Linked DNA regions of Lytechinus pictus. The protein of the gene in region 1 purifies or fractionates together with the protein of each later gene. This does not show direct contact. Links are inferred from orthologs where the notes say so. Each region holds a gene or a part of one and is shown in the gene's direction. Other genes may lie near its edges.

Region 1 (7,575 bases):
GGATGCGGATTACGAGCGTACGCCGTGTTATGTGCGCATTACGTGCGGGGAGAGAAGGGACGCGCTGTTAGCTAGAAAACAAAAACACGTGGTGAGTCCTTAACTTTTTAAGGGGGAAATGCATGTGAGTGTGTCACTTACATAATTCACAGCGTGAATTGATTTTAGGATTCTAGGATGGCTCATATAAAGAAGTTGAAAACATCAAAGATCACTTCTTTTTTCAAGCATAATGAGAAAGAAGAACGTGATGACGAACAGCCGTCTACATCAAAATCGGATGATGTCGGAGATAGGCCTGTTCAGAAGAAAGTGCCGTTGAGGGTGATGGAGCATTTTCATTCATAACCACATACCCATATCAAGACAACAAAGACTATACCTGCGTGTACACAGTTGACATTGGTTTTTTTTCTGAAGAGGTGTAACAGCAAAATTCACAGAGATAAATAAATACGTAGTGCGGTTCAATATGCAATACTATGTGTCAGTCCATTCTGTATTCGTATGCCACGGTGTGTAGATCTTGTCGATGTATGTCTGTCCATTCAAGGCGTAGTATGTGTGTGGTGCGCGCACCCGTGTGTGTGAGGGTGTGTGTGTGTGTAAGGGTGTGTGTGTGTGTGAGTATGTGTGTGTGTGCGTGCGCGCTTGTGTGTGTTATTTTACCTCATTAAGTATGCATCAGATTGCACGATTTCAAGTTCAAAATTGCAAAAGCTCCCTACCGTGGGAGGGGCGACACCCCCCTCCCACACCCTCCCCCCGCTCGGTCACTTCGCTCCCTCGCTCGGGCGCTTCGCGCCCTCACTAGCGTTGGCAGCCCAGTCATCCCCCCCAGGTGTACGAAATTGTCTACGCCACTGAATGTGCATGCTCGTACCATAACATTATAAATATACTAAAACACAAAATCTATTTATACATGTACAGCCATTCTTCAAGCACTTTTTAATACATGATGAATAAAACAAGAAGAAAAATGATACAGATCAGTAGCACCTGACTTTGACAATACGTAGAAGAATGGAACATTTGGCAAGAGAAGTTTAATTGTTCCAGGCAGAAGCCTGCAAGCTTCTTACTTGAAAAATCAAGGCGATTGAAAGGATTAATTGGCCCACAAAACAGATGATGACAAGCACCCTTAACGTAATCTGTATATTCAAAGATTAATGGTATACCATGTTTATTTGTGCACGAATTTTGAATGATTCATGAATGCAAATTTTATGAGGTCAATGTACTGTTTTATGTGTTCTCAGACAGGCTACAAAATGTGTCGAGAAATAATCTGCATGTGAATTTCTCAACAAATTAGATAAGGTACCTTTAAAATTCTGGCAGCAGTGGATAGTCTAAAATAAGGAGGTAAATTTTCTACAGTGATGATGAACTTTCATGATTGTACGTATGCATGGAGGCTACAAACTGTATTGACATACTGACAAATTAAAACTGTATACATTCTTGGTAATTTTTAGCGAACATATAGTGTCAATTAAGTTTGAGTACTTGATACTTAACAAATTAAAGCCCTTGCCTCTACAAATCCATGTTTGTTTCTTCTGTTTTTGTTTAATGCTTGTTTGGAAGGACCACTCTACACCTGAATTTTCTTATTTTTAGCAGAGGTACATGTAAATGTACAACTCATATCTGAGATTTTAATGAAAAAAAAGAATGTCCCCCCATCACATTCACTTGCCTCCGGCAAGCTGGTTTGTTGTGCCTTAAAGCCTTTCCAGGTGTTCTCTTTAAAGCAGTGGATATGTAGCTACAGAGCACTTTATTCTTTTTTAAAGTTGCACTTTTTTAATAGAAAACACCATGACCATATAATATATTGTCTAAAAATGCAATTTACAGTATCATCTCCATGAAATGACCAAACAAAGATGCACTCAATTTTTTTTTTTTTTTTTTTTTTTTTGGGGGGGGGGGATGAATCTAAAGCACCAATCCAGATATACATGTATGTTTTGAAATAAAACATTTTTTTTAATACATATTTTTTCAAATTTATCCAACAATTTTATAAAAATGCCAAGATATATTATAGGCAGGCACATGGTTGTTTCCAATAGATTTAGAACAAAGACATAATTCTCAAATATGTTTAGGAAAATCCTGAGCCTTAGGATAGATTCAAAATCATAGTGATACAAGTAGCCTATTGTTTATTAATTCAATTGTACTACGTGTGTGAGCTCTAAAATTGTCTGAACTCTGTTCTTTATCTGTAAATCTAAATCCAGAAAAAAATGGATTACTGAAGATGCATGTGTGTACTGAATCGCTTTCCACAGAACCTTTCTTCTGTATTGATGGCTTTCATGTAGGATTTGCATCCTAGATACTTTACTTGTGGCCAAGGGGGAGACATCTGTCTGCATAATTGTGCACTGGACAAGATCAATGTCAGAATATTCTAACCAAATTTGCTATTCACTGACCAAGGCATTGAATAGTAAAAATATTGCACCTTACTGCTCAGGGCAACAGATGCATACCACATTTACAGTAGCATGAAGAGTGGCACTTAAAAGATTTTCTTCAGTCTTTTTAAAAGGATTAACATTGGAAACGGCACATATTCAATAAGCTTTGAGGCTCTGTTTACTTTCAGAAGTTACTTTATTGGAGACATACATATTTGTACATGTAGTGCAATTGCATTCATTGTTCTATTACATGTATCATAATCATTATTAGTTTACCAAATTGTTTTGAAAGAAATTAGGAAATCAAGTTTTCTGAATAGTAATGTTCACAAACGGGATTTCAATATTTTTAGGGCATTACCACAATACCACGAGGCAAATTTCAATAATGAAAATTCAATTGTTGGGGAATAAAATAAGGCACAAGAAATCTCCAAGGACAGTCAGTGGGTATCCGCGGCCACAGCCATCGATAGCTTTCAATTTTTTTAGGCTTATATAATTCAAGCCCTGCAAACATTACTACATGATGTACATGTATGTACCCTGTATGATGTAGGCTTTCATGTCTACAATAGATGCAATATAAATTTAGGTCTTTGAATTAGGCTTACGTGGGCAATATTGCAAGCTGGTTGCATAATATACATGTAAATCCTCCAATATCTCCACACTATCTACAAATATATTGCAAGATCACATGGACAAACTGATCAATGTCTGAAGGTCATCTTTTTTATAATACAGTTAGTGAAGATATCTGGTTCAGGAAAACACCCTGTGTGTGTGGCATACGGTTATGAGTCACCACCCTGGCAATGTAATGTACAATGTATTGTTATTAGACTGGGACAGCTTACAATGTGGCGCAGTAAAGAACATGGAATGCACAGTAGACAGGCCAAACTTGAAGTGGGGGTGGGGTCATACATTCATGTACATGGTATATACTGTAGTGCCTGCATCCCACTTCTGTAGTAAACGTCCCCTGCAAACTGTGAAACAATATGTTTTTGTTACAGAGAGTCAGAGGCAAAACAAAAGGAATGTACAATGTATTGTTTGTATACCTGGGACATCAAAAACAGTATGCATTTACAATGTACAGTAGTTCAGTATTGATGCACACATTATCCAGGCCAGTATGAATGCTTTACTCACGTGACACAATGCCTGCTTCCAAGCTCAGAGAAAACACAAAATTAATTCATATGACGGAGATGAAACAAAAGGATAGCGCAGGAAAAGCATTTTAGCTTTCTTCTATTTGCCCTTCATCAGAAACATCTAAAGACAGACTGCAGGGAAAATCAGAGCGATATAGCTCCTAACATAATAAAAAAAGCCCTGGAAACTAATAAAAAGAGCTCTCGAATCAATTAAAAAGAGCGCTGGAAAATCCCCATTCATTACAATGAGCTACATGTAAGTGAATATTGTAGATTTATACAGTAAGTTGTAAACAGAAGCCGCCGAAAATAACAGATGCATTGTGAATCATACTGTCTTCCTGGAAGTCTGCACACGAATATGAAGTTCCCTAGACACTGTTTTTCTCTGAGTAATAGATTATAGTTCCCAATACCTACATTTTCTAAGACTGCATTTTGAGGTTTTGTGAGGCACATCCAAACAAATTATTATTCAAGTACCCCCCCCCCCCCTGCTACCATCATTACCAGGTCCCTCGGACAGGACAAAAGCCTTTGGTTCTCTGATTGCTGCATGTAGCTACATGTATGCAAGCATTCATGTTTTCTTTTTATAGCCATCAGGTAAAAATTATATTAGTACCACCATTTGTACGGATCATGTTTGGTTTTGTGTGTACAGAGCACTGGCCCCGTCTTACAAAGAGTTACGATTGATCCGATCAATCCCAAGTATATGGAAATTCATCAATGTCATAATTTTTCTTTAGGAAATTTACTCAATGTCTTTTGAAAACAACTAGCATACTGAATTGTCAAGAAAACAGTGAATGTATGAATGTACATCATTTCTAGAAAATATTTTGAACAAACATGCAATTTTAGATGTTGACGTTGCTGGCTGTCCATAGTTGTGTTTGATCGGATCGATCGCAACTCTTTGTAAGACGGGGCCCAGGTCAGCCAACCAGTAAGATTTTAATAGATTTAAAAGATTTTTTTTTTCTTTCAAATTAGCAAAATTAAAGCAAAAGTCAGATTATTTGAAGTATGAGTCATATACTTTTGATAGTGTGTACATGTAATTGCCCCAAATAAGATTTGTTTTTTTGTTTCAATAGGATTTTTAATTTCTAAAAAATTCATATCTCCATTTACAAAAATGAGTACAAAGTTTCCCTTTCTTTTAATAGCGATGTCGTTTTCAGTTTTCTTGTTACTCATTAAGTATTAAAGGGTTTTATCCCTTTTTCATTGATTCTGCAGGTGGGTTTGCCCTGGTCTTCCTGGTCAAAGGTCGCAATGGAGTACACTACGCCCTCAAGAGGATGTTTGTCAACAACGAGCAGGATTTGGTCGTCTGCAAGAGAGAGATCAAGATCATGGTAAGAAAGGAGAAGTTGGCCTCTCTTCTTCCATTTTTTTCTGCCAATAATACATAAAGTATGGTTGATTCCTCATCTTCAAGATGTGAAAACAATATCATACATGTACATGTATGTAATTCAATGAAAACGCCTTTACTGTCGGGTCTTTAAAAAAAAATTATTTCTCTCTTCCTTTGCTCTCTCTCTCTCGAGTAAAATCCATTACCATAAAAGTGCATATTCTTGGGGCCATGTTGCACTAATTCGATTATGATAGAACAATCAATTTTACCACAAAACACAGTTTTGCCCCCTAGTATTCTGCGCAGTTGAAAGGCACATGTATATGCAATCAGACAGTACATTGAGCCCAAAAAAATGAAGGTGGTATAAATTTTGATTTTTATTTGAATAAATTTTTGATGAAATCTTTTCAGAATGAAATGAAATATAAATCTTGCAATACTACACACACATTTCGTATGAGAGATCCTCTGTTCCACACTCTTCAAACATGGCTTTTTAAAAAGTCTCCCCCACAGAGATTACCTGTACACTGTGTGTAGCGTGGTATAATTTTTTTTTTTCCTTCAAAATTTTCTTGTAAACTTATGAAAACTTTAACAATATTTTGTTATGTACAGTTGAGGACAAAAGTTTACATGTACCCATGGAATTCAGTGAAATTCGTCATGATAGCACAAATATTTTATACATGTAAGATACAATAAATTTTATGATGTTTGGCAAGTGTCAACTTTTCTTCGAATTTCCTGGGTGTATGAAACTCTTGGCCTCAATTGTACTGCTTTTTTTCTGTTTGAAAGATTTCCAAGTCTTGATCATTACATGAAGAAATTATTATTATACCCACATGTTTATTTCAGGGAGAAGCTATCGTAACAAAACTGCTTTTACTCTGAATGTTTTATTATACTGTATGCTGAGCAAAAACTCTTGGATCAATAGAAAAAAAATCCACAAACCTGCCATCATGAAAGAAGTAACGGGGGGGGGGGGGGGGTTTGAATAGAATCACACTTGATTTTCGTCAGATACATGTATATCTTTGCTCGATAAAGTCATACATTGTACATCAAAACTCGGTCTTTATAAATTTCTCCTCAATTTCTTGTAGTGTGAATGGGTTGCCTATTAATGTTTCGCAAATCTGTTAGTATGTGCTTCCAGGCAAACAGGACAGCTTGAGCCTGGGTATCTTGGGAAATGTCTTTTCATGAAACCTGAACTGTTTTTCTTCCCTCCCCACCCTTCTCTCTGTCTCTGTCTCTCTCTATCTTTCCCTGTCTCTCTACATCTTTCTCTGTCTCTATATATCTTTCTCTGTCTCTCTATATCTTTCTTTGTCTCTCTATATGTTTCCCTGTCTCTCTATATCTTTCCCTGTCTCTCTATATCTTTCTGTCACTCTCACGCTTTTTCTCTGGATATGTATGTTTATATATCTCCTGGTGTCTTTCTCTTTCCATCTCTATTTTTCTCTCCGGCTCTCTCTCTCTATTTCTTGATCTAGTCTACACTGTCGGGTCACAAGAACATTGTGCCCTATGTCGATTCCAGCATCACACGCAGCAACAGTGGAGTCTATGAAGTCCTCATTTTGATGGAGTATTGTAGAGGTAAGCCAATTTTTTTTTGCTATTACCTTACCTGCTGTGGGAGATTAAAGGGGGAAGTCCACTCTGACAGGTTGGTTTTAATCATAAAAAAAGAGTGGTTTATTGTTTTAACAAATTCAATTGTACATAGTCAAGAGTGACTCTTTTCTATGCGAGTATGGCCCTCCTTTTTTACATTTGTTTTTGCGGGTTGACAAATTGCATCCTTTTGGAAGGTTGTGTATTCCATGTTTTATTTTGCATGTATATTTCATATCGTTTAGTATTTTTTCATATTCATTTTTATCATTACTTTTCCTTATAATGAGGCCCAGTTGCGGACCGTGACCCGGAGGAGACAATGATTGGAGGGGCACTGTATTGTTTGTGAACAATGCTGTGCCCCTCCAATGCTTTGTCTCCTCCGGGTCACGGTCTGCCACTGATGAGGCCTATTACTTTTTATCATTACTTTCGTATAATTTTTTAGGGGGGCGTGTAGCAACTTGTCAGAAATTTCTGAAGTTAATCGACTATATTCACGCCCCTGCCATTTATGAAAAGCTAGATCCATCCATGTGGTGCACTATTTCAACAATTTAAATAAATATTTTAATTGACCTAATTTGTATTGAAATTACTTTGGAAAAACTGAAACTTTGACCTATAATTTACAAGGGTAACAAAACTGTACCTTGGCAATTCCATAAAATATGTACGTCCGACTCCCTATATGTGGGACTTTAAAGAATTTTTCTGTCTCTGATTTCTTGTTCTTTTGACAGTTTGTAATGCTCTCAAATGACCATGACTTGGTCGGTTTATGAAGTGAAATAAAACTTGAGAAAATGGGGGTTGGACGTACAAAAGGTTGACTATTTTGTGGAATTGCCCACCTAGAAAAATTATATTTTTTCAGAATTAGGTCAGTTTGCAGATACTGATCATACATGACACATACCGTGTACATGGAGTCTACAAGTACAGTCATACA
Region 2 (7,308 bases), on another chromosome or scaffold:
CGGTTTCAAAAGTGGTGGTGGGGGGGGGGGCTGAGCCAAATGTGGGGGCCGACCATGCACAAAATCACACAATGTTCATTTTTACGTTTTTGTACATGGTTTTGGAAAAAAATGGGGGCTGAAGCCTACCCAGCCCCTCCCCCCCCCCCCGTTTCCGCGGCCCGTGTAGAGAAAACAGTTGCGGCCCGTTTGATCTGACGAATGATGGCTGATTTGTTTTTATAGTGTATAACTTACAGTCGATATATCGAGATCTCCTCTTTGTCGAGGAGTTATAATGCAGAGATGACCGTCTGAATCAGTTACTAGCACCGTCAAGGCAATCGCTAAAACATGGCACAGTCTCCGCGACATGGTATCCATTTTATTTCATCAAATTATTTCCGTCAGGGAGTTCGTTCCAGAAGAAGTTTTAAACTTATAACCTGCTAAAAGGTAGAGTACAGATCGTAGTGCCACTATATTCCGCCGAGTATTATGCCAAAACACACAATGTCAATTTTCTTGGCAAATCTGTCCCGCGTGGTGTTGACGAAGCTATCCAGATTAGAAGTCGAAATCAAGGCTAATTTGGATTAATGAGAGATTAAACCGGTATATCACGCAACAAAACATACATTGATCTGTTGATTGTATTGTCAGTTCCTACATGTAAAACAGACTGCACGTGACGTGCATAGCTCTATAAATTTTCAAGAGATTCTCTAGTAGGGGCCTCTGATATGCGTGCTGAACACTTACTGTTAAATAATGCCGCACAGAACAAAGTAAATATTCCAAAGTTCTAATAATCGCTGTATTTTTTCTATTGATGGTGGAATTTGACTGAACGAATGAACGATAATGCTTTGTTTACATCCGTTGTTGATTCAGAAACTATAAAGATTTTTGCTTCATAGAAATTGTTTGATAAAGTATATGTGAAATAGGGAGAGGTTGGGGAAATATTTAGAGCGAAAGAATATTGATACAGTGTCGGAGACAAAGTTACAGTATATATATTTACAAAATGAAAGGAAATAAAGGTTAGAGGCACTAGCGTACCTACGGGGGGGGGGGGGGGGGCAGAGGGGGCAGTCTGCCCCCCCTGACGAGCCACAACCCATGCAAAGGACGTATCCCTGCCCCCCCCCCCCCCCCCTGACGAGCTTGAAATACCTTTTTTTTTTTTTTTTTTTTTTTTTTTTTTTTTTTTTTTTTTTTGCTTGTCAAATTCTTTGGCGGACGGTTTTGCCCCCCCTGTGAAAAATCCTAGGTACGCCACTGGTTAGAGGTGAAAAGAAAAAATGGAAGAATGACTGAAAGAGGGGGGAGGAGGAGGAGAAGAAGAAGAAGAATTAAGAAGAAGAATAATTAAGAAGAAGAAGGAGGAGGAAGAGAAGAAGAAGATAATGAAGAAGATGACGAAGAATAATAATTATAAGAAGAAGGAGGAGGAGGAGGAGGGGGAGTAGATCAGGAGCAGGAGATGGAGAAACAAGAAAAAATGATCGAGGGGGAGGAGAAAGCACCGAGAGTGCAACAAAACTATGGTTCGGGAACTTTCATCTGTGTACATAGACTTTTTCATGAAAATAACATTTGTTTGTTGATTTTCTCAAAACAATGTCAAAGCAAATTGCTCGTCGCATCCCACTATGACACGCCCACTTTTATTGTTTGTCACGTGTATACATTGGTCACATGACAGCGAGGGGTCGTTATTACCACTTGATCGCAAAATGAAGCACCTGACATGTTATTACCACCACCCCCGTAGCTGGAGCTCAGAGTTCACGATGACAGATTATTTTAGTAATCATGATGATAGCAAATTTCTTACCATGAGAGGGCGACGTCATTCTTCAAACGGTGTACGGATAGGATCTGCCCGCACTGGTGTAATCAGTGAATCAAAAAATATATCATATGGAGTAAGAGAGCGGCAAAAATTAGATCTTTTACAAAAAAAAAAGAAATATAATTTTGTGACAATGTGGGGTACATCAATGTTATAATATAAAGCCGATCCATTCCATTAATTCACTGATTTTGTTTCTAATATCACCATCATCACCAGTCATCACCATTGTCGTCATCATTTTCATCATTATCATCATCACCATCATCATCATCATCATCTGCATCATCATCAACTGCATCATCATCATCAGCATCATCACCATCTTCATCATCGTCATCACCATCATCATCATCATCATCACCATTATCATCATCATCATCATCATTATCATCAATACCATCATCATAACCATCATTAGGTATGATTGACATAAATTCTAGATTGAAATCACTCACACTTTCCTGGTTACCAAAAATTGTAAGAGGGGATGAACCACCATGGAAATATATTTGTGAGTTTTGGTTACATAAATTAGGCGGTATACCATTATCCATTCTGCTCTCCAGTATAGACATGATTAAATTATGCAAATAAAATATTCATTACCCGGCTACATTTTATACAGACTTACTTACTTTATTGGCTGAACTTCACTTGAAAATGAAATCATATGGAATAATTAAAAACATGAAAACAGGTTATTGTATTTCAGAAAATGGTCCGATAAGGGTTTAGTAAAAGTACGCCATTTAATTGAAAATGGATCATGGAAAAACTCCGAAAGTATTACAGACCTACTGTCGATGAATTCTCTTTGTATCTTATTTCAATATGCTAAAATTAAAACCAATTTTCCAACATATTGGTTCAATTAGTTGAACACTGCTCAGCTTGAAAATCACGGTGATCAACGAATACAAAACGATAAATTTATTCAAATTAAAACCGGTAACTCAATTGACATTACAATATCAAAAACAATTCTACACATATTTTGTAGATTAAAAAAAGAATTTACACCCAATGGTGTTATATTTTTGGCAAGATAGGCTTTCACTTGCAGAAGATTATGATTGGAGCAAATTGCTGAAATTTAAGTTTGGAAAATTACTTGATAACAGAGTTAAACAATATAATTTCAAATTGCTGCATCGGATTTTGCCGTATCGTAAAGAGAATTTAGTTCGATGGAATATCACATCAGACATGACTTGTATAACCATTGTAAACAAATTGAAACTCTAGATCATATTTTGTTGCATTGTCCACATGTGAATTTATTTTGGCAGAAACTACGGTATTTCATTAAGATCCAGTCTAATGTGAATATTCATAGAAAACATTATTGATTGGCCACGATGTTGAAAATGAAAACATGGCTTTTCTGAACGTAATTTTGGTTTTCGCACAATACACGATTTATAGAGTCTATGTGTTGGCTCAGTTCACTTTAAAAAAATTCAGTTATTTTTCTATGTTGTCAGATTTTAAGAGAGAATTAGTCATTAATTTGAGATTTCTTGAAAAGAGTAACAAGATAAAAATAACAGAAAAACAGTACAATGAAATCAAAAGCTTGTGAAAAGTGAAACTAATTGTATATATTGTTTGTGTTTGTTTATTCATTTCAATGTAATAAATACCTCTCAGATAAGGACAAAAAAAATCATTATCATGATGATGATCATGATCATCATCGTCATCACAATCATCTTCATCACCATAAAATAATGGTGTAAAGATATTATCGTTACCACCATGATTTTATTACCATTATTTTTTTGCAAGTTGTATTTGTGACCACAGCCATCATCATGATCATGGATAATCATTTTTTCCATAAAACAAGGCATCGTCATAATATCTCTTTCATTCTCCCTGTTTTAACTCATTTTGATCCACTGCATGCGAATCCTAGATTGGAAAGGCATTAGTCAAATCAATTAGCTTGAATAATTTTATTACCACTTTAAAAACTACTCGGGGGGGGGGGGGCATCTATTGATATTAATAAAGGTAAATGATTATACTTATACCCTGTATCATGTAGATATATAGTCCTATTCTGTTTGAAGTTAAAGCAGCAACATTGTCATCACTTATGATTGAAAATGTTTATTATGCTTTGACAGATAGGCCCACACCCCGCCTAGCTAGTACACCAAGCGATATTTTCATGATTTTCAAATTACAATGGACCCAGTTGTCCTTATACACCCTTCTGATCGACTAGTAATTATAATTTGTTCGCTTTGATAAACACATTTTTGAGTATCCTCCCCATTTGTAAGATTTTGTTGTTATTTACTTAAAAAGACCAAAACTTCATATCAACTGAGATTCAAAGTTCGAAAGGAAGATAGCCAGACTGAATTAACATCTTTGTGACTCATCCGGGACTTGTTCTGACGTCACCGACAATATGGCTGCCATCAGTGATGCGAAAGGAACGAAAAGGAGGGTGTGATTACCCATCAATTTCTAGGTTTTCGTGATATTTACATAAGGTTTTACAGATTTTCAGCCTCTCTCTTGTTTCCAAATTCTTTAGGCCCTGATTTCGAATCTTAATATCAGCCATGGAGGGTTCTTTCTTGAGTCCCGCAGAGCAGCAATATTACCCCGAGCTCTTCAGCAAATCCGACAAGGAAAGCTCCGGGCGAGTGGCGGCCCAGCGAGCGATGAGTTTATTCAGGTTGAGCCCGCAGCTCTCGGACGACGTAATTCAGAGGGTATGTCGGAACTCGGATTAGTCATTTACCTTTAAGTTTGTCTAGTTTTGACTGTTTGTTAATGTTAAATTAATATATTTCGATGCATATTATTTTCAAAATTGATAACCATGTTACTAAATCAAACCGATTGAACATGATCAATGTCATGTCTTGAAAACTGAAACTTGAAAGTGATGATGAACATGACGACGTGACTGACGTCTGAACGAAGCCAGAAAATGTGGAGATCATTTTGAATCATCACACTAGTAGTATGAATCATGTGATGTGATGAGTATACTAATGTGTTAGTAAGTATTAGTATACTAATACTAACCTCGCAATTAGTGTGAGTGGATGTGATGTGACTGTAATGTATGTATGAAATCATTTCTAGTGGTTCTTTTTTCAGTTATATTCTCAATGTTTAATTACTTCAACATATTCTTCATGAAGCAGTTTAAATTAATTTGGACTTTTGTAGCTAGTCGAATCTTAAATGGCAAAATGCCAATTTTTTAACCCCTTTTTTTAGCAAACTAATTTGGCTGCCACCAGTTGCAGTTAAAGCTCTATTGTTAGTCTGTATAACTGAGGAGAAACAAAGAATAAAAAGGTTTATTTATTTCAAAACAAAACAAATTTCAAAAGCTAATTTGTGGAAATTTTTGATTTCAAGAAAAGAGAAATTAAACCCAGATGAAAGTTTTGCTTGTCCCTGTTTAATGCTAAATAAGATACCTCAAAGTCTTGGTTAAACGCAATGGGACTTTTGCATTTCAAGATATTGAATTTTTCCATTCTCATGCTTGTTATCTGTAGGAATATAAATTATCAAGGATAAAGCTACATGGATGCACCACTCATTTGCACATCAATTTTAATGGATAAATGTGCACTTGCAATTTATGGAACTGTGACTGCATTGTGACAAAGAATTCCCATTCAGACTTACTACAGTACAGTGGCACCAATAAATAAATCACAAAAATGCATAAAATCATGCAACTATTTCCAGTTTTGCAGAGCTCTCTTGAATTTTTTTATTTTCTTTCAACAATATGGCCGTGTTTGAAGCGCAGGAAATGCAATTTCCTGCACCCCTTCCAATGCCAACAGTAAAATCAGGTGTTTAGGAAAACACAACTGGATTTTCATATTTAGAATCTTTAAAATATTTACCACAAATTAGAGTTTAAAAATCTGTTCAAATACTAATATTGCCATAGTTTTATGTTTTGTAAACAAAGAATGTAGCTTTTGGTCCCTCCATCATGTACGAGAGATTGGATATCATCATTAGCTGGTGACTTTCTTGTTTAGCACCTGACTGATTGTCTCCATTCTTGCATGAAGTTTTGCAAACAATAACTGTATACAAATTACAAATAAAACACTACCTCTGAAGCCAACGGCAAGGCGGGCAAGCACATAATATCTTCAAAATTTTCAAGTCATCATGCAAGCAAAATGGGGAAAATCTAGGAACCAATTGGATAGTATATAGTAGGCCTATTCTGATAATTAATCCTAGGTTTAACCCTAGTCTGCACAATACATGTAATTTTAGTCTTCACTCTCATGGGAGATTCCATATGTCTGGTAAAGATGATATGTGTAACATATAAAGTCATTGATTTAAAAAAAAAAATGTTTTCTCTTAATACAACAATACTAATTTCAACACCTTTTTTGCTGGAGGATTAACATAATTATTTTCTTTAATGAATGAGGGTTAATAAACCATGGCTATCGGAGTACACCCAATGTATTATGTGATTGTTTAAACCATGTAAATCATGGATTTATTGTCTTAAATTGTATGTATTTCAATACAGATTAATGAGCTGTGTGGAGCAGGAAGGTTAGGTTACTACGGCAGGAGTCAGTTTTATTGCGCACTCAAGATGATTGCAATGGTGCAGAATGGTCTTCCTCTCCCTAATTCTGTGGATTTTGTCATGCAAGGTGAGTTATTCACTGTTATTGTGGTTCCAAGACATTTGCTCTGGCGATGATTGCTCCGCTTTGAATTTGACACACAGATGGAATGACCAACTTCAACCTTGGATTGAACACTATACCCTATTCTAAACCTAACCCTATTCTAACATAAAACCCTATTGCAACCCTAAATATAACCATAACCCTACATCTTAGACGAAATAAAGCCCAGAGCAATTGTTGCAGGAGCAAGTGTTGTGTCACTGTTGTTGTTGCCTTTTGGAACCGGATGGTCCCTACAGGTACTAAAATGGGAATTATTGAATTCAGAAGTGTACATGTAGGGTCTGTATTCTCAAGTCCAGTTTAACTTTAAAAGGCCATGGTCTAACTCTGTGCTTAAGTCATGGAAAGCTGAAAAATATTAAAATTTTATTTAAATCAGGTTTCCTTGTTTACTCAGTTGTTTCTTCCTGCTTTGTTGATGAACAAAACAATTTTTGTTGTTATTCCCAGATATTGATGTATAAATGATTTGAGTCTAAAGTAAGCTGAGAGATTGAGCTTGCAATTACATGTATGTTAAAAAGATTTGTGTAATATCTGGCTCTCCATTGTCAAACCATTGATGGATCTTGGGCGGGGGGTGGGGGGTGGTTAGGGTTTAAACCCTCACCTCGGGCTACCTAGAAATAATTAAAAAAAGGAGTGCGATATCAAACTCCAACGCCCCTTCCCTGTTTACGAGTCATGCAAGCAGAACAGTGGCGGATCCGCCAAGTGCTGCAAACCACAACTTTAGACCAG

Evidence for each region.
Region 2: the proteins of BMP-2-inducible protein kinase-like (region 1) and ralBP1-associated Eps domain-containing protein 2-like purify together in Homo sapiens (affinity purification with mass spectrometry; 3 studies listed by BioGRID and IntAct, counting the BioPlex papers as one, with this or other methods). This does not show direct contact. The link is inferred for Lytechinus pictus from reciprocal best matches to the Homo sapiens genes BMP2K and REPS1.

Annotation. Positions count from the first base shown.
Region 1 is NC_087262.1:11,854,212-11,861,786, forward strand, and holds the start of BMP-2-inducible protein kinase-like, read left to right. Parts: upstream 1-4,312; 5' UTR 4,313-4,923; coding exon 4,924-4,980; intron 4,981-6,496; coding exon 6,497-6,602; intron 6,603-7,575. UniProt on the Homo sapiens protein: May be involved in osteoblast differentiation.
Region 2 is NC_087248.1:18,756,466-18,763,773, reverse strand, and holds the start of ralBP1-associated Eps domain-containing protein 2-like, read left to right. Parts: upstream 1-4,204; 5' UTR 4,205-4,422; coding exon 4,423-4,575; intron 4,576-6,395; coding exon 6,396-6,525; intron 6,526-7,308. Other genes in the region: uncharacterized protein LOC129258351, read right to left, coding at 238-363. UniProt on the Homo sapiens protein: May coordinate the cellular actions of activated EGF receptors and Ral-GTPases.